7 linked regions of the Canis lupus familiaris genome follow. The protein of the gene in region 2 purifies or fractionates together with the protein of the main gene of each other region. This does not show direct contact. Links are inferred from orthologs where the notes say so. Each region holds a gene or a part of one and is shown on either strand. Other genes may lie near its edges. The genes, in order: ZNF704, BTRC, STK3, TWIST1, REST, RIPK4 and TRIB2.

Evidence for each region.
Region 1: the proteins of BTRC (region 2) and ZNF704 purify together in Homo sapiens (affinity purification with mass spectrometry; 3 studies listed by BioGRID and IntAct, counting the BioPlex papers as one, with this or other methods). This does not show direct contact. The link is inferred for Canis lupus familiaris from reciprocal best matches to the Homo sapiens genes BTRC and ZNF704.
Region 3: the proteins of BTRC (region 2) and STK3 purify together in Homo sapiens (affinity purification with mass spectrometry; 3 studies listed by BioGRID and IntAct, counting the BioPlex papers as one, with this or other methods). This does not show direct contact. The link is inferred for Canis lupus familiaris from reciprocal best matches to the Homo sapiens genes BTRC and STK3.
Region 4: the proteins of BTRC (region 2) and TWIST1 purify together in Homo sapiens (affinity purification with western blotting; 4 studies listed by BioGRID). This does not show direct contact. The link is inferred for Canis lupus familiaris from reciprocal best matches to the Homo sapiens genes BTRC and TWIST1.
Region 5: the proteins of BTRC (region 2) and REST purify together in Homo sapiens (affinity purification with western blotting; 8 studies listed by BioGRID and IntAct, with this or other methods). This does not show direct contact. The link is inferred for Canis lupus familiaris from reciprocal best matches to the Homo sapiens genes BTRC and REST.
Region 6: the proteins of BTRC (region 2) and RIPK4 purify together in Homo sapiens (affinity purification with mass spectrometry; 4 studies listed by BioGRID, with this or other methods). This does not show direct contact. The link is inferred for Canis lupus familiaris from reciprocal best matches to the Homo sapiens genes BTRC and RIPK4.
Region 7: the proteins of BTRC (region 2) and TRIB2 purify together in Homo sapiens (affinity purification with western blotting; 3 studies listed by BioGRID and IntAct, with this or other methods). This does not show direct contact. The link is inferred for Canis lupus familiaris from reciprocal best matches to the Homo sapiens genes BTRC and TRIB2.

The regions. Positions count from the first base shown.
Region 1 is NC_049250.1:28,472,544-28,476,043, reverse strand, and holds part of ZNF704 (zinc finger protein 704), read left to right. Parts: intron 1-560; coding exon 561-828; intron 829-3,088; coding exon 3,089-3,193; intron 3,194-3,500.
Region 2 is NC_049249.1:14,332,408-14,335,907, forward strand, and holds part of BTRC (F-box/WD repeat-containing protein 1A), read left to right. Parts: intron 1-678; coding exon 679-865; intron 866-3,500. UniProt on the Homo sapiens protein: Substrate recognition component of a SCF (SKP1-CUL1-F-box protein) E3 ubiquitin-protein ligase complex which mediates the ubiquitination and subsequent proteasomal degradation of target proteins. Recognizes and binds to phosphorylated target proteins.
Region 3 is NC_049234.1:753,447-756,145, forward strand, and holds the end of STK3 (serine/threonine-protein kinase 3), read right to left. Parts: intron 1,872-2,699; coding exon 1,713-1,871; 3' UTR 501-1,712; downstream 1-500. UniProt on the Homo sapiens protein: Stress-activated, pro-apoptotic kinase which, following caspase-cleavage, enters the nucleus and induces chromatin condensation followed by internucleosomal DNA fragmentation.
Region 4 is NC_049235.1:33,429,393-33,433,335, forward strand, and holds TWIST1 (twist-related protein 1), read right to left. Parts: upstream 2,523-3,943; 5' UTR 2,410-2,522; coding exon 1,783-2,409; 3' UTR 1,741-1,782; intron 1,173-1,740; 3' UTR 501-1,172; downstream 1-500. UniProt on the Homo sapiens protein: Acts as a transcriptional regulator. Inhibits myogenesis by sequestrating E proteins, inhibiting trans-activation by MEF2, and inhibiting DNA-binding by MYOD1 through physical interaction. This interaction probably involves the basic domains of both proteins.
Region 5 is NC_049234.1:49,818,275-49,821,277, reverse strand, and holds part of REST (RE1-silencing transcription factor), read right to left. Parts: coding exon 1,227-3,003; 3' UTR 1-1,226. UniProt on the Homo sapiens protein: Transcriptional repressor which binds neuron-restrictive silencer element (NRSE) and represses neuronal gene transcription in non-neuronal cells.
Region 6 is NC_049252.1:36,057,316-36,060,815, forward strand, and holds part of RIPK4 (receptor-interacting serine/threonine-protein kinase 4), read right to left. Parts: intron 3,414-3,500; coding exon 3,255-3,413; intron 2,488-3,254; coding exon 2,384-2,487; intron 577-2,383; coding exon 315-576; intron 1-314.
Region 7 is NC_049238.1:9,238,836-9,242,968, reverse strand, and holds the start of TRIB2 (tribbles homolog 2), read right to left. Parts: upstream 2,801-4,133; coding exon 2,531-2,800; intron 1-2,530.

The sequences.
Region 1 (3,500 bases), on a different chromosome or scaffold from region 2:
GGCTCAGCGGTTTAGCTCCGCCTTCAGTCCAGGACATGATCCTGGAGAACCGAGATCAAGTCTCACGTTGGGCTCCCGGCATGGAGCCTGCTTCTCTCTCTGCCTATGTCTCTCTCTCTCTCTCTCTCTCTCTCTCTCTCTCTGTGTGTGTGTGTGTGTGTGTGTGTGTGTGCTCTCATGAATAAATAAATAAAATATTTAAAAAAAGTTTAAAAATAAATAATGTAAAAATGTAAAGTATAAATAAATATATAAATTCATTATAATCTCTGCTTTGTTCATCATGCTATCAGGAGACCCTAGAAAAGTGCCTGGGTGTAATAGGCTCTCAGTAACTTATTGCTGAATAACTGATTGGTTAAATAAATTGTTTTAAGAGGTCAAGGAAGGCTTCCCTGCAAGTGGACAGTGGAGTTGAGTGTTGCAGGATAAGTCAGAGTTTGCCAGACAGACCAGACAGGGGAAAAGCATTCCAGACAGAGGGAAGAGAAAGTGCAAGATTTCGGGGCAAGAAGGCAGACTGGGTTCGTGTCATCATGTTTTGCTCTCTTTTGCCCCAGGCGTGTTGGGGATTCCGACTACAGTGATGGAGAAGAGGACTTTTACTACACTGAGATCAAGCTCAACACAGACTCAGTGGCAGATGGACTGAGCAGCCTGGCCCCGGTGTCACCTTCTCAGTCCCTGGCTTCACCTCCCACTTTCCCCATCCCAGATTCAAGCCGAACAGAAACTCCTTGTGCCAAAACTGAGACTAAATTGATGACACCCTTGAGCCGCTCAGCTCCCACCACCCTCTACCTCGTGCACACCGACCATGCTTACCAGGTGACTTGCAAAGGACCTTGGGGGTAACCACTCTGACCCCCCACCAAAAGCAATAGCATTCTGCTTTTGCACTGGAAAGGGTGCAAAAACAGCATCACACAAGTAGGCTAATAGCTGAGTTCTTTTTTTCTTTTTCTCCTTTTAAAGTTCAGACCTCACACAGATGGGGCTCTGGGGGTCCTTGGACTCCCCAATATTGACTAAAGATCCAACCCCTTAGAGGTTGTCATAGGACTCAAAATCCTTAATATTGTAAAGATCTCACAATTGTGCCTGGCCCACGATCTAAGTATCTGTTAAATAAAAAAATATAAGTGAAAAAGTGAGCACCGAAAGCTTTGGCACAATGACATAACCGCACTGTGTCCCAACTCTGGGACTTCATGCCCTGTCTTCTGAATTGGTAACTAACCCTCACAGATCAGAGCAGTGATGATCAGTGTTCCCCAAATAGCAGTGTCAACATCACCTAGGAACTTGTCAGAAATGTAAACTCTTGGGGCAGCCCCAGACCTTTTGGGCAGGAGGGAGGGCTGGGGGTCCAGCAGTCTGCATTGTGACAGACCCTCCAGGTGATCTGCTTCACTCTAAAGTCCCAAAAGACCTTACAGACAAATCCTGCAAATAGGACACAGCTAAAGCTCTTCTGTCCCCCCAGCATTTATTAACTCTTTTAAATGTTGATTTGTTTTAATGACATATCAAAACATTCAATTTTAAGAAAGCTTTTTTCCCCAGAATTCTCAACTACTCTGTACAACCTAAAAAGAAAAAAAAAAAAAAACTCCTGTCCATATTTGTAATTGTGTTCTCCCACCCTGGTTTTATAAACATTTTCCATATAACTGACTAGTTTTCAGTTAAATCGAAACACCAAGTTGTTTTAGTCATTCTCTTACCGTTAGCTCTCTCCTCTTTAATCTCTCCAGTTTTTCCACTATCATTAATAACTCTACTACGAACACCTCCATGCCAGTAGCTTTTGTTTTTTTCCCTTTGAATTCCCAGAAGAATAATTATTGAGTCACAGGATATAACATGAACAGCTTATGGCTCTTGCTATGTATTGCCAAAATATTTTCCAGTGGTGCCAGTTATAAAACCACTGTCACGAGCAACTACATCTATAATTAGAAAAACTAAACCTGTAGAAGTACCCAGCCACTGATTTAATAGGCTTACAGTCAAGAGCAATGGAATAGAGCTAATTATTAAATTAGTTGATGCAATAAATTTCATTCCTGACTCTTGTTATGTTGGTCAAAAAGAATACTTAATTTCTTTGTTTTTGTTTGTCAGTGTTGTATTCAGAACACTGGTTTGAAATCATGGGCCTGAACCAATTTCAACTATTTTGCTCATCTATATGAGAGTTGGAACATGCACGAGGTGATCTAAAAGGTCCTTCCCAAACCATGTATTCATAATATTGGGATTATTCTATTTATAGACATTATGAATGTTCAGCATCAAAAGTATTAAAAACACAAGCAAATGAAGAAAATTCATCCCTGAACCGCAACAACAAGAAAGCTCCTTGGTTAATATTTTTTGTATGTCCTTCAAGACTTTGTTCGATGTATATATAGTCATTTTTAAAAAAGTAATTTACCATAGTACTGTTTTTCTTGTGCTTTATTTTTGCCATTTAATATATCATGAACATTTTCCCATGCCAACAAGTATTCTTCAACAGCATCAGTCTGTGGGTATATCATGACTTACGTACCTACATCCCTATTATTGGACACTTGCATTTCCAGGGGTTTTTTTTACATAATACATAGTTCTGCAATGAACATCTTTATATCCATTTCGTTAGAATGAATTCTAAAAGTGGCATAGCTAATATACAAAATACTAAGAATTTTGATATATATTGCCAAATTACCCTCCCCAAATGTTGTACCAATTTACACACCCAGCATCCCTGTAAAGTTGTTTATTTCCCAATTTGATGGTGAGGCATAGTGTTTTACACACAAATAGGCCTATGTCCTAAAATAGGTACATGTACATATAATAAAATTTCTTTTCAGAAATCAGCAAAAAACCTGCTCTTATTCATTAGATTACTAAGATTTATAAAAAGCTTATTTCTAGCTATTCTCTTCAGCTATGTTTAATCTCCTGTTGGAGAATTAGTCTAAGTTATTAATACAGCTGAAACCATTTTGGGGCCCTACTTTGGCAATGATAGCTTAGGACTGTGAGGAGAAATGTTGTTTCATAACAATGTTCTCTGTTTTCTGTGGGACAGGCCACACCCCCCGTGACCATTCCAGGATCGGCCAAGTTCACCCCCAACGGCAGCAGCTTCAGCATTTCTTGGCAGTCTCCTCCAGTTACCTTCACAGGCATTCCAGTAAGTAGAAAAACAAAAAGCCAGAAATCTGGTCAAAGCCAAACATAAATTTAGAGAACAAATTATAAAAACATGCAAGAGAAAGGCAAAACTCAGAATACCAGAAGTACTATTCCTTAAGTGATACTTGTACACTCCCCAGCATGTATTTCATGGTCCAGCCCAGCCCAGCTTGTCTGTGGTAAAAGGTGTTACGACTGGCATTTTAGAAAACCAGGAGAGGTGCAGCTGCTGATAAACAACTTGTTAGAAATGTGTCAAGAGTGTTTGTGTCCGTGGTGTATCTGTATGCTTCCAAAAGGCTTTA
Region 2 (3,500 bases):
GCTTTTTCATTTTTTGGTTAATTGTCATTTAGGTTTTATAACAGCAACTACTCTCAAACATACTTTTTTTAAGCATCTGAAATTAAACTCGAACTTAAACATACCTCTCTGTCTTTCCTCTTGGGATGTTCCTTTACCAATCTGTATTTCCTTCTTCTCTCCTTCTGCATGCCCAAAATTCTATAACCCAGCACATTCTGACTTAGTGCCTCTCCCCTAGTACGTTTAAAGGATATTTCTTTTACTGAACAGCTTTGGAACTGCAGCAGTAATAGAAACAGAATGAGAAATGGACCTAATATAGAGATTTGGGGGGGTCTGAATCACAGACTTTGAGATGCCATCCATAGAACATCCCCTAGTGCTGAAATCCATATAGATAGATGTGAATTGTTTTCTGGAATCCTTTTTATTTTTAATGTCTTGGGGGGTTTGCTGGTTGTTAGCTTTAACTTCCTTATCTAAAGGAAGATGGAAAATACTGTTCATTTCTGTAACCTTATGGAAAAATTATTGACACTCATTTTACCCAAGTTTCTGTTTGAAAAAGAAACTGGACCACACTAGGGACAGTGATGTGCCTTCAGAGCAGAATAAATGCTATTCTGTTTTCAAGGACTTTTTGTAAAAAATCATTCACCACCTATATTCTTCTTTGCCTCCACCCCCTACCAACAGCCCGGGGTTTGGATCACATTGCTGAGAACATTCTGTCATACCTGGATGCCAAATCGCTATGTGCTGCTGAACTTGTATGTAAGGAATGGTACCGAGTGACCTCTGATGGCATGTTATGGAAGAAGCTCATCGAGAGAATGGTCAGGACAGATTCTCTGTGGAGAGGCCTGGCAGAACGAAGAGGGTGGTGAGCCTTTTAACTTTCTTACTATTACAGATCATCTTCAGGACCTGCCCATTCAGAATCATTGGAATAACACTGGGAACCAGTGAGACTGCTTATCATTTAATATGATGTTTACCTGGTTTATAGCACAAAATGTAAAATAAAATAGTTGTACAGGTACTTAGCAGTTTTTCTTCTGACCACTCATAAGTGACATAATAATATGTTAATACTACTTTGTAAAAACTGACTTCTGTTGAGAGCATTTTGTTTTCTGAGCAGAAACTAGTGTCCTGACAAAGGGCTGTTGGCAGTTTGTAAGACAGATGACTTTAAATCACACAGAAGCCATCAGATACCTGAAACAGTTCCGGACAAATACAAATAAGTATTTTCTCATTCAGAAAATTTCTTATCTTTAATTCATGTCTAAGGTGGTTTCTCACCTTTGTAATCAAAATTACTTTTATACTCAACTAGAGAAAGAACTCTAGCCACCATTTCTTCATAAGGCCCACCCATATTTTCTCAAGATTTTACTGCTTAATCCTAAATTCCTTAAGGCATTATATAGTTAGCAACCTAAGAGATTTCACCAATTTTGCTGTTGTTCTTTTAACATAAAGGTACCATTTCATTCAAACTTCTGGAAGATACCTTCTATATGTACTTTGCTCTTAGAGGATGTTACTAGAATGTCACTATAAGAAAGTCAGGTGTGAATATTTCATAAGTAAAATAAAGGTGACATATTAAGTATTTTAGCTGATAGATATGCACCAGCAGCCATATGTGTGCTCAGGGATATCCTAAGCAATTAATTTTATCAATTATTTATCTTGGACCATAAAGAGATACAAAACAGTTAAGAAAAAAGGATTAGCTTTTCTTAGCAATTTTCATTAAAATATAGTTGGCTTCTTTTTTTTTTTTTGCATCTTTGAAATTCATTAATATATAATAAACATAATTACCTAAATATTATACCAAATGCTTCAAGAAATTTCTGTCATTCTGGCTATTAGGAAGACTTAAAAATTTCTCTCAAATTCAGTTAAATGAAGCAAATGTCAGGCAATTCTTTGGCTGTATAAAAATGAATAAATGAAAGCACAGTGTTATTCTTCCCAAATATGTTTTTCTTATTCTCACTTATTTCACTATATAGAAAAATCAAAACCTTTCATAACTTACCTTATACTTTGGAAATAAATTCCTTATAATATAAAGAAAGCAAAAAAGTATATAGTTGTATAGGATTCAGAGTTCATCATTTTGCTAAGTGTGTCAGGACCAGCCTTAGATAGAGAGCAGTTGCTGACATACATGGGAGAATTTTAGGGTAGCTAGGAATATTCCACTATCCCTCATGGGGGAAAAAAAAGGAAAGGGAAAAACCCTTGCTTCCAAATTGGAACATCTGGCCTGAAATCTCTATTACAGAGATTCACTCCCATAGTGATAAAATATACTTTGCTCCCATTTGGACTGTGAATAACAATAAACCTTTATCAGACATTGGGAGTTCCAGGTTCTTTATTTGAAGGCAAGAAGAACAAGGAATAGGTGGCAGATTTGGACAGATGCATGTGAAAATGCCAAAGATAAGAGTAGGCTCCACAGTTTTAGTTGGGGGTGGCAGTAAGAAGCAAGATCTGTTATATTAGTTAGAAAGAAAGAAAACAAACTAGATCATTGAAAAGATGGCCTTTTGGCCTTTTAAGAGGAGTATATAAAGGAATGGCTGAGAAATAACCTAGAATCCCATAGTAATTATCACTCTTTCCTCTATCTATTCAACCACAGGAACCCATTCCTGTTCTTTTGAGTATCCTTCGAAGTTTAGACCATATTCCTGTCTTAAGCTACATTTGCCATCTTAGCTTAATAGAGTCCTGTGAAATTACAAGTGTCCACCCCATGAAGACCTCCTTTAATATCCCCTTGACTTTCTCTGGCTGCTTCTATTTTTAAATCTTGCCTTTCTTCTTGTGTTAGTGTCCTCCCCCTTAAAAAATTTTTTAATGTATGATCACTTTCTCATCTTCTTTCAGATTGCTTTACTAAGCCTACTGTGTCAATAAAATCTGTCCTACCTTTCCCCAAATGCTGGCTTTGAAAGTTTCCTCCAACCAAAAGTAAATAAATAAATATAATTCTCTAATGAAGCTTTGGGTTTAACTTCTATTCCACTGTTGTATTTTGTATCTAGATGAATTTGACAGTTCATGACAAGAACTCTGTCGTTTTTGATTTTCAATAATATTGAATGTGCTCTCTCTGCTCAGTAATGGTAACTCTTAAAAGTATAATAAAAGATCACTTGGGGAATTCCATTTTCTTAATCAGCAGATCACGTTTTATGATAACATTCTGAATTTAATATTGAGCACTTATCAGGTACTCACATTCTCAAAGGTATTAGGCATTTTGCATAGAAGTGGTCCATGTTGTGAAGGAGCTTCCATCCAAAAAAGGTTTTGACCTACAACACAGATCTAGACTGAAAAACTGGTTTTCAACACCTAGCCACCCCTTTTTTGTAGCACATTTAATTTGAAAGAAATTCAGAAACTTAAGAAAAAATTCAGATGCTTTAGCAAGGCATGAAAAATACATTGGGGTAAAAAAAATGAGATCAGACTCTTAGATGGTT
Region 3 (2,699 bases), on a different chromosome or scaffold from region 2:
AGGGCAGGGATATATATTACTCCAAGGCATGGCCTGGGGTGCAACTGCCATTTTAAGATAGAACTAAAGCTTCCAGAGATGCTCTACCCCCTGTGGCAGTCATTAACGAACCCACTGGCATCTCCCTTCTCTCCCCTCCGGGCACACAGGTGAGGTTGTCTTTCCTCACTCCCTTGAAATTAGGGAGTTAGTGGCCACGTGACTAGTTCTGAATACTGGTTGTGGCCACCCTGACATGTGTCACAATGTCAGCACTCCTCCCCTTGCTGTCGTGACCACCAGTGTTGCAGATGGTGGAGGTCCTGGGGGTGAGTGACAGAAGCAGGGTGTCTTGCCAATGTGGGATGGGCATGGAGCACCAGTGAGGAATCCACACTGAGCCCCTGAGGCTCCCAGTTGTTATGGCTACATCAGCCAGGCTGTCCTCACGAACAGACCTTCCGTGCCAGGAAAAGAGAGAATCCAGGTGGTGAGTTCTTAAAAGACATAGAGATGATATGTGCTGGGTGGCACAGTAAAATTTATTTTTCTTTATGATTTACACATAGTAATTAAACACACAAAAGAACAAACACTGTCAAGATGGCCATATGTAGCTTAGGAACTGACTGGTCCCAGTTCAATCATACAAATGTTCATTCAGCTTAAAAATGAGTTTCTTTTTAACATTTTTTTTTTTTTATAGTCCCCAAGGCTTGCACAGTTCAGTACAAATGTTTTTGTTATTTTGTTATTGTCAGGCACATGATGTTTATCAATTCCCAGGAAATGAATGAAATCAACAAAAACGTCCTGTGACGATTGAGCACAAATTTTACAGAAATAGATTTGATGACAGTTTGATAGTTCAGCTAACAGATCAATAAATGAAACATGAAACAATATTAACAAATTACATTTGTCTTAAGGATTTATTTCTTCTAAAATATTTACCATACTTCTTTGTGCAAGGGTTCCACTGACTTCTTTGGTTTTAAACATTATAGCCCTGTGTGTCCTAAATATATATAGTTCTATTTGTACCAAACATCGAGAATAAAAACATTAAACAAAATTTCAGAAGGTAAAAATGGAATTATTGCTTCAGTATAAAAAAGTGTCTGGGCCCATCTGGGTACTATTGCTATTATTGCTTTGCTTCTATTGGAAAACTATCCTGGAAATCAAGGAATGTATCCCATCACTACCTGCTGAAAGTATAATTTGGTTGTATATTATCATCTATTAATACGTCCCTCCCTTCACCAAAGCTATCCTAATCTTGTCCTTAAAAACAAAACAAAGTGAAACAGCATAAATAAATAAGCTTACCTGGGGATACAATAAATAAGCTACTAGAAATAAGAATAAAGAAGATTGTAACACAAAGCTCTTCAGTGCTGTACAATTAAACAATAGCTTCAGATTTTCAAGGTCTCTAAACACAGTGTTGGTTGTAGAACAGTTTTAGCGCTGATGAGCACCTGACAGATCTAGAGAGGAAGACATTTCTGTTGTTTTCACTATTTAAAGAATGAAAACCTAGAGGCTACAGTTGTAATTTCTGCCTTTTGGGAATTTACTAGGTATGTACCATCAACGGTTCTGGACTGCTGCCTAGTTGTAGAGCACAAATCTTAGGGATTTAGAAAAAAGACAGTAAGAATATTCCTTCAATTCTTAGTGGTTTCTTGGTCTCCAGAATAGTTAAACAAACAGAAAAAAAATGAGACTCAAAAGTTTTGCTGCCTTCTTTTCTTCGCATCCATCGCATCCAGAATGGGTTGTCTTTTTGCAGTGTATCTTTGACGAAGCTCTTCTATTTCTCGTTCCATCATGGGGTCCAGCGCTTTTAACCGCATCTGCAGTTCTTCTAAACTGAGATTTTTTAACTAGAAACAGAAAAAAAAAAAAAAAGAAGATATTAACACAAAATTATCTACAATAGGATAAAATCTAATGGGCTTTAGCATGAATATTTCAGCAGTCTTTACATCATCTTTGAAATGTAGTTCAACAATTAAAATGGGAATACCTTCTCTGAAGAACCAAGATACCACACCTTGTAAGAACCTTAAGTAATCTTGCAACAAAAGCAATAAAAAACTCTGCTTTTAGGAAAGAGCAGAGAGAAAAATAAGCTGATGAAAAGTATTTGTTTTTTTTAAAAAAAAAAGGCAGAAAGACAAATCCACCAGTGCCAACACACAGACATTCAGGATATGTTCCGAATATATCTACTCCAATCTCTCCTATCCTTTCCAGCTCTGGAGCACCGCCATAATTGTGAGTATTTGCAGAGATCACCCAAGAATGTGACAAGATTGAATACAGGTTAAATTAAGCATTCTATCTTGCATTTCACCAAGTGTTTAAATTTTAACTACCTGGTTAATCAGAAAATTAAATTATCTAGAATACTTTTGTCCCAAACATTTTGATATAATAAGGTTTTTAATTTATGAATCAAAATCCTGAGCCTGATGTAAACAAAGATGTGTAAATTCTGACATAAGCTTGGCTAATTTGAAGATATAGTGCCTATCAATTTTTCACTATGTATATTCTAGTTTGACAACAATGGTAAGATTTGACTAAATGGTATAGTTTGACCATAATGATTTAGTTAAATTATACTGCCTTCTGGAGGCAAGACCAGCACATCCTTTACTGGTTTTCTGTGTAACAGCAGGAAAGAAGCCTCATATATATGCAGGATG
Region 4 (3,943 bases), on a different chromosome or scaffold from region 2:
CTACGCATTCCTACTGATTTGTAAGTGTACAGATACAGATCATTTTAGTAACACTTTGGGCATCCTTTCAGTGCAATGAACGCTATTACTTAAAAGTCCTGACAAACAGTGGAGGGTAGAACAAAAAAATACAGTAACGAGAGAAAAATAGTCCTGGCTTCATATTGCTTATTTGCATTTAACTGTTTTACAGCTGCCTCCTCAAAATATAAGCAAGAGAAGTGAGTAACAAATTTCCTAAGTTTTTGCTTGTTTGGGGGGCCTGATAAGAGATGAAGGAGAGATGCTACAAAGTCCACTGAACACCAAACTGGAATAATAATAATAAAGCTGTCTTTCTAAATAACACGCCTGTGCCTGTCAGTAGCTAGTTTATTTGCGTTTTTCACTGCTTTGTTTATATTAGTGCCCCCTCCCTCCTGGGTGCCTCCAGAGTTAAACAAGCAGGTATTTACCTCCAACTTAATCCTGAGCTTTAAAAATATAGACCAAACTCTGAGGTTCTTAAAATTTTCAATCATATTTATTTATTGCAGAAAAATAATATACAAAGATATTTACAAAACAATCATAAAAATATGAATGCATTTAGACACCGGATCTATTTGCATTTTACCATGGGTCATCAATAAATAAATAGAATGTTGTTTTTTGTATTTTAAGTTTTTTTTTTTTCTCTCTCAGAGGAAGACTGTAAAGAGGGTTTAACTGACTGTGATTTTGCAAGTCAGTTAGATCCCCGTATTTTTATTTCTAAAGACGTTCTTAAAATTCCTCTGGTTGGTACCATTTTAAAATGGAGAAAGTCCATAATGATGCCTTTCCTTTCAGTGGCTGATTGGCACGACCTCTTGAGAATGCATGCATGAAAAAATAAAAATAAAAACATTCTTCGTCAAAAAAAAAAAAAAAAAAAAGGAACACAAACAACTGTTCAGACTTCTATCAGAATGTAGAGGTGTGAGGATGGTGCCGCTGCCCGTCTGGGAATCACTGTCCACGGGCCTGTCTCGCTTTCTCTTTTAAAAGTGCGCCCCACGCCCTGTTTCTTTGAATTTGGGTTCTGCTCTTCTAATTTCCAAGAAAATCTTTGGCATATATATTTATTTTTAGTTATCCAGCTCCAGAGTCTCTAGACTGTCCATTTTCTCCTTCTCTGGAAACAATGACATCTGCAAAAACCCAGAAGGGGGGGGGGGGTTGGAAAGTTGGTTATTGTTTAGGTCTTCGTGGCTGTTTTCTAAGACTAGCGAGCACTGTTCTTATCACCACTACTGAGAAATTACGCTGAACAACCTGGAAGGATTTCAGCCCAAGGGCAAGAGGAAGTGGGTGGCCGGAAAGAAGGAGGAGGTGGAATTTGGAAGCATTTGTTTTAAGGAGAACGAAAACTTAGAGCCAGAAGAAAGGGAGGCGCTGGCAACCAGACTTGCCCTTCCCCACGACCCTCGAGTGTCTCTCAAGTCCTCCCTCCTGTCCGACACGCACACTCACGCACACGCAGCACACCCGGCACGGGGCGCGTCCCCCTCACCCTAGCGGGGACCGACCTGCCTTTCAGGGACGCTCGGGGGAAGAGGTGGCGGTGCCAGGCTGGGTGGGAAGGCTGATGGGGGGGGGGCGGGGGACGACCTGGGCGGGGGGGGGGGGGCGCGGAGGAAGGCCAGGTGGGCCGGGAGCCGCGGCCCGGCCGTCCGTCTGACCGCCCGCCACCTGACCCGCGGAGGCGCCGGTCCTTACCTAGGTCTCCGGCCCTGCCGAGGGGGTGGGGAGCTCCGCCTGCTAGTGGGACGCGGACATGGACCAGGCCCCCTCCATCCTCCAGACCGAGAAGGCGTAGCTGAGCCGCTCGTGGGCCACATAGCTGCAGCTTGCCATCTTGGAGTCCAGCTCGTCGCTCTGGAGGACCTGGTAGAGGAAGTCGATGTACCTGGCCGCCAACTTGAGCGTCTGGATCTTGCTCAGCTTATCCGAGGGCAGCGTGGGGATGATCTTCCGCAGCGCGGCGAACGCCTCGTTGAGCGACTGCGTGCGCTGGCGCTCCCGCACGTTGGCCATGACCCGCTGCGTCTGCAGCTCCTCGTACGACTGCGGGCTCCCGCCGCCGCTGCTGCTGCCGCCGCCGCCGCCGCCGCCGCCGCCGCCCGCCCCGCCGCCGCCGCCGCCGCCGCCCGCAGATTTCTTGCCGCGCTTGCCCTGGGCCGGGCTGCCCGGCTCGTCGCCGCCTCCGACGCCCCCGCCCGCGGCCCCGCCGGGCCCCGCGCCGCCGCCCGCGCTGCGCCGGCTGCTGCGCCGCTTGCGCCCCCCGCGCTTGCCGCTCGGCGGCTGCTGCCGGTCCGGCTCCTCCTCGCTGTTGCTCAGGCTGTCGTCGGCCGGCGAGACTGGCGAGCTGGACACGTCCTGCATCATCTCTCAGGTGGCAGCGCGCGGCCTCGCAGGCCCGGGAAAGGGAGGACGGCGGGGAGCCTCAGCCCGCCAGCTTCCCCCGCGCGCGGCGCCGGCCCGGGCGGTGCGGCCGCCGAGGAAGGGGCGGGAGGAGGCCCGGGAGGCTCTCGGCGGGGCGGGGAGGGCGCGCGGGGGAGGCGGGGAGGGAGGCGGGAGGGGGAGGGGACGGTGTGGATGGCCCCGAGGTCCAAAAAGAAGCGCCCAGCGGCCGCACGCACGCCCGGCCCGGCCCGGCCCTGCCCTCGGAACCGCCGCCGGTGCCGGCGCGCCCGCGAGGTGTCTGGGAGTTGGACGAGAGCTGCAGCCTCGGAGGCTCTTATACCTCCGCGCGGGCGGAAAGCTTGGGGGCAGCGGTGTCATTGGCCTGACGTGGGGAGGAGGGACTTTTCCAAGTTTTATAGGAAAGTTTCCGCTTTCCAGGCCCCCCTGCCCTCCCACCCCCTTCCTCGTCCCCACCCCCACCCCCCTTTCCGCGGGGTCTAACAATTCGTTCTCCCAAACCATTCAAAGGCGACCTGGCTGCGGCGGCCGGCCCTCTGCCCGCCTCCCCGCCTCCCCGCCTCCCCTCCCCGCCCCGCCGCCCTCCCCCTTCCCGCCCCGCCGCCCTCCGCGGGCCGGCGCGGGGCGATTTCCTTCCGCGCCCGAGCGCGCGCGGGCCGCGCCCCCGCACCCGAGCGCAGCCCCGGAAGGCGGCCGGAGGGGACCTTTCGGCCGCGGTGTCAGTCCCTCCCGGAGTGGATGTGACAGCAGCGGCAGCTCCGGCTACAGCTTCTACGCAGTGGGTGATGCTTCATCTCGCCCCTGTACCCTCTAGGTCCGCGGGGGCCGCTTTGGGATGGCCGGGGCGGGGGCAGGGGCAAGAAAACTGGCAGCCGCGGAGCTCTCCTCCCTATAGCCAGGTGGACGGAGGGGCTCCCCACCTCCCCACCTCCCCACCCCCACACCCCGAGTTGCAAAGCCCAAACCACCGCGGCTGGCCCTGAGGTCGTGGGCGGTTTTTGAAGACGTGGCCGCGACTGCGGGGACTGCGGCTCGGTGCCCCGGCCTGCTCTCACCCCTCCCTCAGAAGCATCTGGGCCTTCCTTTATCCCGCCACAGCGACCCAAGCCTAAAGCCGCTTGCCACCCCAAAGACTTCACCTCCGACGGGGCTAAAAAGAGGAAGTTCGTTCTTTTCTCGGAAGTCAGCCCTGTCCTCGGAGAAAGCAGCGGGCCGGAGAGGGACAGCGCAGGGTCTTCGCTGCGGCCCGCGTCGCCTGAGCTGCCGGCCCAAGGTGGAGGACCCCGCGGCCGTGTCATCCCTACCGTACCCCCACATAAAGCCCCACATCGTGACCCCTAAAGGGAGGCTCGTAAGAGAGCGAGGTGGGGTTCAAGCCCACCCCCCACCCTCCACCCCGAACCCGCGCAGCTGCCCGTTGTGCGAGGCACCTTCTCCGCCCTTCAATCCTAGGAGCTGGAGTGGGCAGTTATGCTTCGGGTGACCCAAGCGCGGTCCA
Region 5 (3,003 bases), on a different chromosome or scaffold from region 2:
CTCCTAATTCCAGGTTTGCAGTTTCCAAATATCACTTACAGTTCTTTATTCAGCTGAGTAGCCATATGGACACCAACCATCTATGCAGAAAGGTTTTCCTCAAAGATATGACTTAACACTGCACATTTAAGGAAGTAGTTCTACTAAAACAAGCCAAAAATTTTTACTCATGGTTGGTATCTGAGATAAAAATCTGTCTAATATAGAGTCTAGTGGTTTATTGTAAAGGTCAAAATGAGAGCTGTGAATTCACTACATCCATTTAAAATAAATAACTTATGTGAAATACAGATTCTGGCATAGATATAAGATGTGAAATTCAAAATCAATGGATTGAACCTGCATGTTTCATTTGCTCACAAATTTGCACACACTAATATTCTGCAAAAAAGACAATTGCAGCAAAGGAAAAAGAAAACTGCCCTTTTGCAAACAAGACTAAAAGCATCCCTCGAAAGAGGACAAAATAAACATGCATATATATGTATAAAGTGTTACTGTTCAACACGAATACTATTTCTAGAAAAAAATTGAACTGCATAGGTTAAAAAAAAAACAAAACAATGTGCAACATCTTAAGCCATTAAAGCACCAAAAAAAAAAAAAAAAAAAAAAAACTTGAAAGAAAAAAAAAACACACCAAAATCATTGTTTTTATGACGATTAACATACACAAATAAGAAATATTGATCAAAACTCAGTAAGTAAATACCTGGACTGATACAATGTCCACTGTTGGGAGAATTTTTCTTCAATTTAAATGTCTCTTCTCATCTCTAAAAAAATTTTAAAGTGCTAACTTTATATAAAGCAGGCAAATTCAAGTAATTTGCTATTTAAGTATGCCAATTTTTATAGAACTAAACAAAGAACTAAGAAAAAACTAAAGCGAAACAAGAAGACAGACATGGCAAGAAAAGTGACAAGTTACAGCCAGACAAAGCAACAGAATGCTACAATACCACCTTGGCCTTCTCATTTCAATTAAATGTATAAACTAACAGATTTAGGTATCTGCTGGTTTAGTACACTAACTTCCTTGGATTTGCTAAAATTTATCCATCAATAGATATACAGAGTCCTAAGGAAAAGAGTGCCACTTAAAAATCAACATTGGACACTAATTAAAGCAATTTAAAAAAACAAAAGGTTGTCTACAGCTATAAATGAATATTAAATGTAATAGATCGCATAAACTAAGAACTGAAGCCTTATCCTAAGATTAATTACTCCTGCCCTTTAGCTGCTTTTTCAAGGAAGTATACGTTAACCAAATGACGATTGAGGTGCTTGCTGTAATCTTTTTCCTTTCTAAAAGAGCGATCACAGAAGATACAAACAAAATCTCCCTCTCCCACTTTGACTGCTAAGGCTTCCTTTGCATTTTTCCTGCTGGTTTCTTGTGGAACTGGCCGGGCCCCATTCAATCCAGAGTCATCACTACCCTCTGACATGTTGTCACTTAGATCACTTCCATCATGACTGTGGATGCCTTCATCTTCATCCATTTCCTGAGACTCATTTACTGCCATGGTGACAGGAGGTGATGTCACAGCAGTTTTAGACACTGCTTCATGGTTTTCTATTGGTAGGGGATGCAGCACTGGTGAAACAGGTTCTTCAACTGCTGGGCCTTTGCCAGGGGGATTCTCTGTTTTGTTCTCATCAGTGTCCATTTCCATTTCACAAAGCACAGTGTCAGCCTGACACTTAGCATCTAAAATTTCACCCTCTGGTATAGTCAAGTTTTGTTCAGAGGATGAAATATTGGCAGATTCCTTAATAGCAGCAAGACCAGCTAGACCTTTCTCTGCCTCTTCTACTTCTACTTTTTGAAGAGGGGCTTCTTTACTTCCTTCGTTTTCAGTGAATAATTTTTGGTCTTTTGACTCCTCTTCTTTTGAGTTTTCCTTTGGTGGCGGCAGTGGTGGTGGTGGTGGTGGTGGTGGTAAGTGATCCTGTGCACTTGCACTTTCCTTTAGAAGCTGGCTATCTTTAACAGGCACTAAGCCCACTTCAATAAGGACTTGCTCCTTCCGTGCCATTTCACTCTGTATGTTGGACTTTTCCTTTTTATCTTTTCGAGGAGACTTTTTGGGACTTGGTTCCATGTGAAGAGAAGGCTCTGTGGGAGGAGGCTCCATCTGAACAACCTCCATCTGAACAGGGCCCATGGGAGGAGGTGGCTCCATCTGAGAAGACCCTATCTGAGCAGACTCCACTGGGGGAGGCGGCTCCATTTGACCAACATCCATCTGAGTAGACTCTAGGGCCGGGGGCGGCTCCATCTGAGCAGGCCCCCTGGGAGGAGAAGTCTCCAACTGAGCAGGCCCCCTGGGAGAAGGCTCCAATTGAGCAGGCCCCTTGGGAGGAGAAGGCTCCATCAGAGCAAGCCCCTTCTGAGCAGGCTCCTTCTGAGCAACCTCTTTCTGAGCAGGCTTGCTGCTTTTTTTACTTGACTTATTTTTCAGACTTTTCTTCTTTGTACTTTTTTTCACGCAGGTATTTTGCTTTTTATTCTCCTCTACTTTGCTATCACCTTTTGGCACTTCCTGACTATTTTTGGATTTGCTTTCTGCCTTCTTTTTCTTTTTTGTCACAGGTTCCTCATCATTTACAGGGTCTTTTAAGGAATGGGCTTCAGCTTCCATCCTCCTTTTGCTTTTCTTGGTTTTACCGGTAGCTTCTGAATTATTTCCTGTATGCACATCCATTTCTTTAGTTTCCATTGCTGATTTGCGAGTTCTAGTAGTCACTTGGGTGGAAGCATTACTACAAGACTTTTTCTCTTTTGAAACATTATCTTTTTTCTCCACTTTTACAGACCTCTCATTCTTCTTTCCAGCCACATCCCCCTTTACTTTTGTCTGTTCTGTCTCTGTTTTTTCATTGGTAATATTGTTATCAGGCAGGTCAGCCTCTCGCTTTTTGGTTTTCTTTAGTTTCACTTTTGAGACATCCATTGTTTTATTAGGACAAGTAGGATGCTTAGACTTGAAATGA
Region 6 (3,500 bases), on a different chromosome or scaffold from region 2:
ACCCAGGGTTGGCACAGGTAGGACTATTCCTGCACAGCCAGGTGGCCCGGCCCGGCCCCCTTACTCTGAAGTGACACCGCACGGAGCCCCTTGGCCGGCCACTCAGCGAGTACACCTCTCCGGACCTGCGCTCAGTGAGCTAGCTATGCTCTGACGCCCCAAAACAATTGGGTACACGATACAGGAATGAAGAATTGGGGCCAGGAGCTGGGTGCCCGGTCCCTTCGGGTACACATGGACTCCTACACACACTGCCTGCCCCCCAGCCCCATGATTAAGGGCCTCACTTCCCAGGGTTTGGGGGCCTCGCTTACCTCCCGTCGAAGGCTCCCGCTCAAAGGACAAAGACAGCGACCCCCTGGAGGAGAAGGCAGAGTCGACCGAGGACACCCCCGAGAGCCTTTTGCCGCTGCTGGCAGACGGCAGCCTGGATTCTGAGCAGCTGCGGCTCAGCTCCTCCGGGCCGTCCAGGGTCTGAGAGGTACCCGAGTCCAGCTGGGACAGGAGCTCCGAGAGGCTGTAGTCACTGTCGAAGGTCGGCGCGGAGGCTCGCTTGAGGGGTGTGCACACAGGCTTCTGCAAACCGAGCAGAGTGGGGTAGATGAGACCCACCCAGGGCACAGGGGGTACAGGCGGAGGGCAAAGGGTGTGTGGTGCCAGGACAGCCACACGGGGCACTCTGTCCAACGCCACAGATACAGCACCAGGGCAGCCCAAAGCCGGGAGACACAGATGCATCATGAGCTAATGCAGACCATCGTGAGCCAACGCTGACCATCGTGGGCCAATGCCGACCATTGTGAGCCAACGCTGGGCATCACAAGCCAACACTGGCCATCGTGAGCCAACGCTGACCATCGCGAGTCAACACTGGCCATTGCGAGCCAACGCTGACCACCATGAGCCAACGGTGACCATTGAGAGCCAAGGATGACCATGGTGAGCCAATGCCGCCATCATGAGCCAACGCTGACCATCACAAGCCAATGCTGGCCATCGTGAGCCAACACTGACCATCGTGAGCCAACGCTAACCATTGTGAGCCAACGCCGACCATAGTGAGCCAACACCGACCATAGTGTGCCAATGCTGGCCATTGTGAGCCAGCACCGACCATCATGAGCAAACGCTGGTCATCATGAGCCAACGTTGGCTATCATGAGCCAACGCCAACCATGTGAGCCAATGCTGGCCGGATGAACATGGGAAGCCTGGCACCATGCTGCCCTGGCCCATTGCTAGAGTGGCACGAGCAGCATCACCTAGACAACAGGCAGGATGTGATGGTGCCGGGAGGGTGTGAAGCCTGAGTGCTGGGCCATGCCCACCCTGGCAGGCCACTGTTGGTAAGAAACGAAGGAAGGACATGCGACTGGGACTGGGGCTGGGCCCCCTCCTGCCAACCACCTGTGCCCCCTCCTCCTAGCCATGCGAGTCGGGCCGGGGGGCTGTGTGGGGGCCACATGAGGGGCGGCCCAACTACAGCGACAAAGGGGCACTCCAATATAATGGGCGCCAACGCGGCCTCTCCCAGGGCCTCCCTCACGGGCCTCCAGGAAGGCAGACTTCTGGTGAATGATTAAGCCCCAGGTGGCCTCCGACTCTCCCCGACCCAAGCCCACGTGCCCCCATCCTCCCTTCTCCTTGGGAACTGCAGATCCGCTCTGACTCGGTGGCTCGGTGCAGAGTCACACCCGTGCACTGGGTGCCTGGCTCTTCCTCACCAGGTTCCTCACCCCGGGCACCTTTGCCCCCCAGCCTCACACACACCCCTTTATGTTCAGACAGCGGGCACGCCTTAAACAATGACTTATCTCCTAGCCTTACGCGGCCGGCAGCCGGGGCTAAACCGCCCGATAGCAGGTAACACACTGGGCTTCGCCTCGCACGTCTGCCACAGCCCCGTCACCCCGCGGGCTTGGTGAGCCCCAGCCTTTGGAGTTAGTTATTGCACCTTACATAACCCATGTGGCCCTCCCAGAACAAATCATTTATGGGCAGCGGTTAGCAAGCGGCCAGATTCCCGAGTCAAGGGAGCAGAGAGAGCTGGACCAGCAGAGCCCACATGGGCCTTGCATCCCCCCAGCTCCCAGAGCATCCGGCCAGCGGGCCCACGCTGTCCACTCCTAACCACAGATGGGAGGTGGGGACAGGATGCAGCTGGACAGGATAGACACCTGGCACTGCGAGAGCTGGCCACTGACCTGCCCTCCTGCTCTGGGGCACAGGACCCTGTGGCTGGCTCTGGGACACAAGGCCAACCGACCTGGGACAGGCCTCTCTCCATGTGGGGGTGACCCCAGGGCCTGGTCCAAGCTGGCAGGCCAGTCTACAGGAGGGGAAGGGCCCCCCAAAAAATGGCCTCCAGGAAGGTCGCTCTTACCGGGCTCTTGGGCTCAGGGGGCTGCTTCGTGTCCAGATCTTGTGCCGTCTCCTTCACGTCACTGTCGGGCTTCTCACACAGGTCCTCGGTTTCACAGGTAATTTCTTTCGGGGAGAAAACAAAACAGGGCAGGTCACTGGGACGATGACCTCCACACCCACTCCTCACACGTGTAGACCTCAGGCAGGGACAGAAGAGGCAGCAGCCAGGGCGGCTGCACCCCAGGGGACTGGCCAGCACCCAACTTCCCAGGCTGCTGGCTCGGCGGCGCTTGCGGAGGATGCCCCGTAGCCTCCACGTGGGCCACTCTGGGGCGTCCTGTTAGCCACCATTTGCAGTGTCTTGCAGACGCCAGGCAGGGCCCACACCATTCCAGTTTCCCAGAGAAGCCTTCCCCGGGGGGAGCCCCGTGCCCACGACGGCCCCGGGTGGCTGGCACAGGGCAGGGGAGGCTCCTATCATCTCCTCCGTGTGTCTTCAATATAACGACAAATTCTGATTTCATCAGAATCACTTTCCTACCCCGAGGATGCATCCATCCGAGGCGGACAAGACCCCAAGGGAGATGCAAAGACAGCCTCGGGCGAGCGGTCTCCTCAGACCCCCAGCGAGGCACCGGCATACCTGAACTTGCAGGACTGCAGCACGCGCTCCTCCGGGGAGCAAGGCGGCCCTGGACTAGAGCTGGGCGGGCGCTGCCACCGACCCCCAAGTGCCAGCCGCCCATCCCGGCCCCGGGCGCTGGAGGGCCACGGGCACCTGTGTCTGCACCGCCTGCCCCATCTGGGCGGCTGCCCCTCCTGTCCTGCTCATCAAGCCTCCCCCGTGCCCCCAGCGGCACAGTCGAGCAGCAGGTCCCCCGGGCACTCACCCTGGAAGGTGGGCCGCTCCCGGGGATCTCCGTGCCAGCACCTCTGCATGAGGCGCAGGAGGGCCCCGCAGGCCCGCGGCCGGGCTCTGCACACGGGCGGCAGCTCCGGGCGGTGGCCCTTCACCACCTTCACCATGATGTGCAGGATGTTCTTCTCATCTGCAAAGGAGAAGCGCGTAAGTCAGGGCAGCTCCGCGGGGCCGGGGTGGGTGGGGGGGCCGTGGTTTTCACCCTCTGGGGGAGCGG
Region 7 (4,133 bases), on a different chromosome or scaffold from region 2:
ATAAGCCTGGCTGCCAGCTTCTTTTAAATGTTTAATTTGGAGCCTTACTTATATAATGTGACAGTTGAGATAAGGCAGTGAGATCAGGCCATCATTAGTAGCATTTGCAAAAAAAAAAAAAAAAAAGTGCCCATTATTCCAAGATAGTAATTATGTCAATCTGCACAGTAGCTACCAGCATTTCCATGAAAATGATAAGGTAAAGACCCCCTAAAGCTGCCTTCCTTCATTTGGCTAGCTTAAAGTAGGCTCAGGGAGACAATAAACAGGCTTGATTATTTTGGTCAAATGATCCCAAAGAGGGTCCTGTAGAATTCTCTCTGCAGTCCTCTCTAGTCATGGCATCTTTACATTTGGTCTGGTCTTGCAAAGACTTTTTCCTTGGGTCAACAAGGAGCTGGAAGACATGAACTCTTTACTCTGAGACACGAAACGGAACTTGATTCAATGTGCAGATTTCACAGTGCCCTGCGGTAAACTGAGTTCACACCGTGTATCTGGGGGTAGCTCGTGGAAGCAGCCTTATAAAAACCACTTGGGGCTTCCTAGGACACATACAACTCTGCTTGCATAAAAAGTCTTGCAGCCTTTGCAGGAAACCGGGCTGCCGTGTATTAAAGGGATGACCTGTGTCAAGCAGAACAATGATACTGCACTTAAATCCACTTGCAGCCACACAGTAATTGCTGAGGGGCCGATTCAATCTTTGCAAGAACTAAACCAGCCGATTAAGTACAGTTTCAAGCCAAAGAGCAAGTCTATGAATGACACCGAAAGGTCAGCCCAAAGGGAAATAACGTCTTGAGGAGTCTGGAGGGAGAAAGAAAGAACAGGGGCAAGTCCCCTCTGCCTTTAAACAAAGAAATAACAGCAAGATGCTCCTGCAGACTTTGAAGGCAGAGTCCCTTTACTTACAAGCGTCTCCAGCCTTTGAAAAATATTAAAATGTTGTACCGAAGTTGAGCAAAGGGAGTGAACACTCTCACTGCTGGGCGATTGTGCATATTTCACAGGAGAGTGGCAGCTCTGTGGAATTCATTCATTTCAAAGGATGACTCCCCTATTGTGCAACCTTGCAGGTCTTCTGAGAATTCAATCCAGCCCTGAATAGCCTACTGAATTTTGGTTAACCGGGCACAGTTGCTCTGGGTCTCAATAACTTGGGAGGAGATGCAAAATACCAAATGCTCCCTAGAAGCAGAGAGCTCTATTTAAAGAGTCTCTGATTTTCCCCCTGAGATCTGAACTGAGCAATTGCAAAACTGACTGAAGACCTCCACAAAACCCATATTTACAATGAAAAGGCTCCAGTCCGCTACGAAATAAGGCAATCTGTGGTTAATGGTAGAGAAGCGCGATGTTTTATTCGTAGCACAGCTCTGCAGAGTGCCCATCTCAAAGAGAGCAGAGGTCCTCACTCCTCACCACCCCCTTACCCGCCGCCCCCCTCCCAAGAAAAACCAAGAGTGACCGAATATAAAATTAAGTGACAATGAATTCCTGATCTGTGTCCCAATGCCCGGGGTAGCAGTATGCTCTATTCTATTTTTTTTTTTTTTTTGCAACTGTTCCCCTTCTCATCCCCTCCTCTGGAGCGCACACAAAGACACACAGACACCCCAGTCACTGTTGGGGGTCAAAGACAAAAAGGAAACTGAAGTGCCCATCTCTGTATTAGCAGTGAGAATCCCAGGGGCTCCAGAAGCCGGCCTGTAAACCCTACAGGCAAAGGTGTGTTGGTGGGGGGGGGGTGTCGGAGGGGGGTGTCGGGGTGGGGGGGTGTTCAGGCACGGAAGTCCGGAGGATGAGCAGAAAGGAGACCACAGAGAAGGAGCCAAGGACTCACTATTTCCTACACCCAAAGGTGCGCCTGCGGCTTTGATTTCAACCCCCAGCCCTCCTCTCCAGGCTGCAGGCAGCAGGGAGCTCTTTGTAAACTCCTTCCCCGCGCGCTGGGCCCCTGGCTCAGCCAGAGGGGACACCTTTGTGTGTCTCCTTTAAAGGGCACCTTCGGAACAAAGGTTTAACACCTGCACGCTTCTAAGAACAATGGCTGCGAAAGGAACCCGGTCATCAGTGCCCTAAAATGAGCGGGGGATTCCCTACTCCACGGCGGGAGGGGAAGGGGGGGGAGGGCGGCAGTCGGGGAGACAGCCCTGGGGCGGCCGCGGGCCCCGACCCCGCGCAGGGGCGCCCCACGGGCCTTGGGGAGCGCGCGTGTTCGCGGCGCCCGCGACCCCGGGGCTCTCCCCGGGACGCCCCCGCCGCGGCCCGCCCCATTGTCTGCAACGCTCTAAAAACTTCGCAACTAGTCGAACGTGAACAAATAAATAAAGCCCCTTTTTAACGAGGCCACGGAGAATTATCCCGCGCGCCTCCCTCCTCCGGGGGCTCCGGAGCTTGGCGACCTCCCGCCCTCCAAACGGGCCCGGGGAATCTTTTGAAAAGACAATAAGCAAAACAAAAAAGCACCCCCCAAAAAACAAAAACAACAAAAAAAACCCAAACCAGCAAACCCCGGGCTCTTTACCTTGCACACCAGCTCCTCCCCACTGTGCAGATGCACGGCACGAAAAACGTGGTCTCCCTCCAGAGGTTCCAACAATAAGTATTTCCCGATGCAAGAAACGCAATGCGACAAGTTCGGAGTCTCGGGCGGGCTCGGGGAGCCGAGGTTCGGGCTGAAACTCTGGCTGGGCTCGGCGGACCTTATAGACGACAACTCTTCGAAATCCTGGGTTTTGTTCCGCGATCTCCCATATCTTGCTATTGTGATGGGGGTAGACCTGTGTATGTTCATGAGTGTGGAGATCGCACTCGGCAGACAGACAGACAGACAGACAAAAAAAAAAAAAAAAAGCACCCCCGCTGGAGAGATGATGAGTCGCTGGCGAGCGCGGCTGCAGGCGCCTCCGTGCCACGGATTTTAAAAGGATTCGCGAGGGGAGGGGACGGGAAGGGGGCTACGTGGAGAGAGAGGGAGAAGCCCCCAGATGGGCGCCGCCGGGCACCTGGTCGGCTCCGAGCCCCGGCTCCCGGGGGCGCTCAGTCCGCAGCAACTCCGAGTCCTTTTGTTACCCCAAAGCAGCCGGCGATTTTGCAGAGTCTCCGCACTTTTAGTTTCTTTCTCTCTGTCTCCTTCCAACGTGGGTCTAGACGAGCCACCCGATTGCTACGGCGGGGAGCCGCAGCGCCAGGTCTCCCGAGGCGATCCCCACGCAGGCTTCCGAAGCGCGGACGGGGCGGAGGAGCCCTGCTGTCTAGTTTGTGCAATCTTGGAGGAGCGCGCACGGCAGCCGCTGGGTCTCGACGCGTTAGAAACCAAACAAAAAGGGAAAAAGAAAAAAAAAAAAAAGGAAATAAGCACGGGTCTACCGGCTCGCGCTGCACGGCAGACACAATCCGCGCTGCAAACCCCCCCCCCTTTTTTTTTTTTTTTTTTTGGTGGAAAGGGTGGGGGGCGTGGAAGGGAGGGGGGAGGCCGGCGGAGCGAGGAGCTACCTACGTTTTAACTGTAGATGGCGTGTGAGGCTTTTCCAAGATCGCAAGAGCTCTCCAAAATTTAAACAAACAGACAAAAAAAGAAAAAGGAAAGAAAAGAAAGAAAGAAAGAAAAAAAAAAAGAATGGCAAAGGAGCATTTAACTTGGAGCGGTCAGCGCTGCCAACAAAAGGTCGCAGAAGCTGTGGGGCAGAGAGTGGCGGCGCGGGGCGCGGGGCGCGCGCAGGGACCGCGACAAAGCCCGGGTCGGCCCGCCGGGCGGAGGTCAGCACAGGCTCATGCTGTCGCCGCTCGCTCGCTCCCTCGCTCGCGCTGCAGCCCGTCCTCCGAATAAAGCGAGAAGTGCAGGCAGGGACGAGGGTAGATCAATGGTCTCCGGTTCCCCCGGCACGAGCTTCCGGGGGGAGGGCGAGCTGGAGAGGGGCGAGGGGGGGGGTCCTGCGGGCGCTGGAAGGGGATGCGCCCCCGGCCAACCTGCCGCGCGCTCCTTTCCCGCTGGATAACTGGATCTTGCCTTGGAGCAATTTGCAACCACTCCGCCTCCCCCGGACCCTAAACCCAAATTGCCCGGTGGGGTTTGTTTTGGAGGAAATTGATGGCTTTTCTTCTTCGTCTTTTATTATTATTATTTT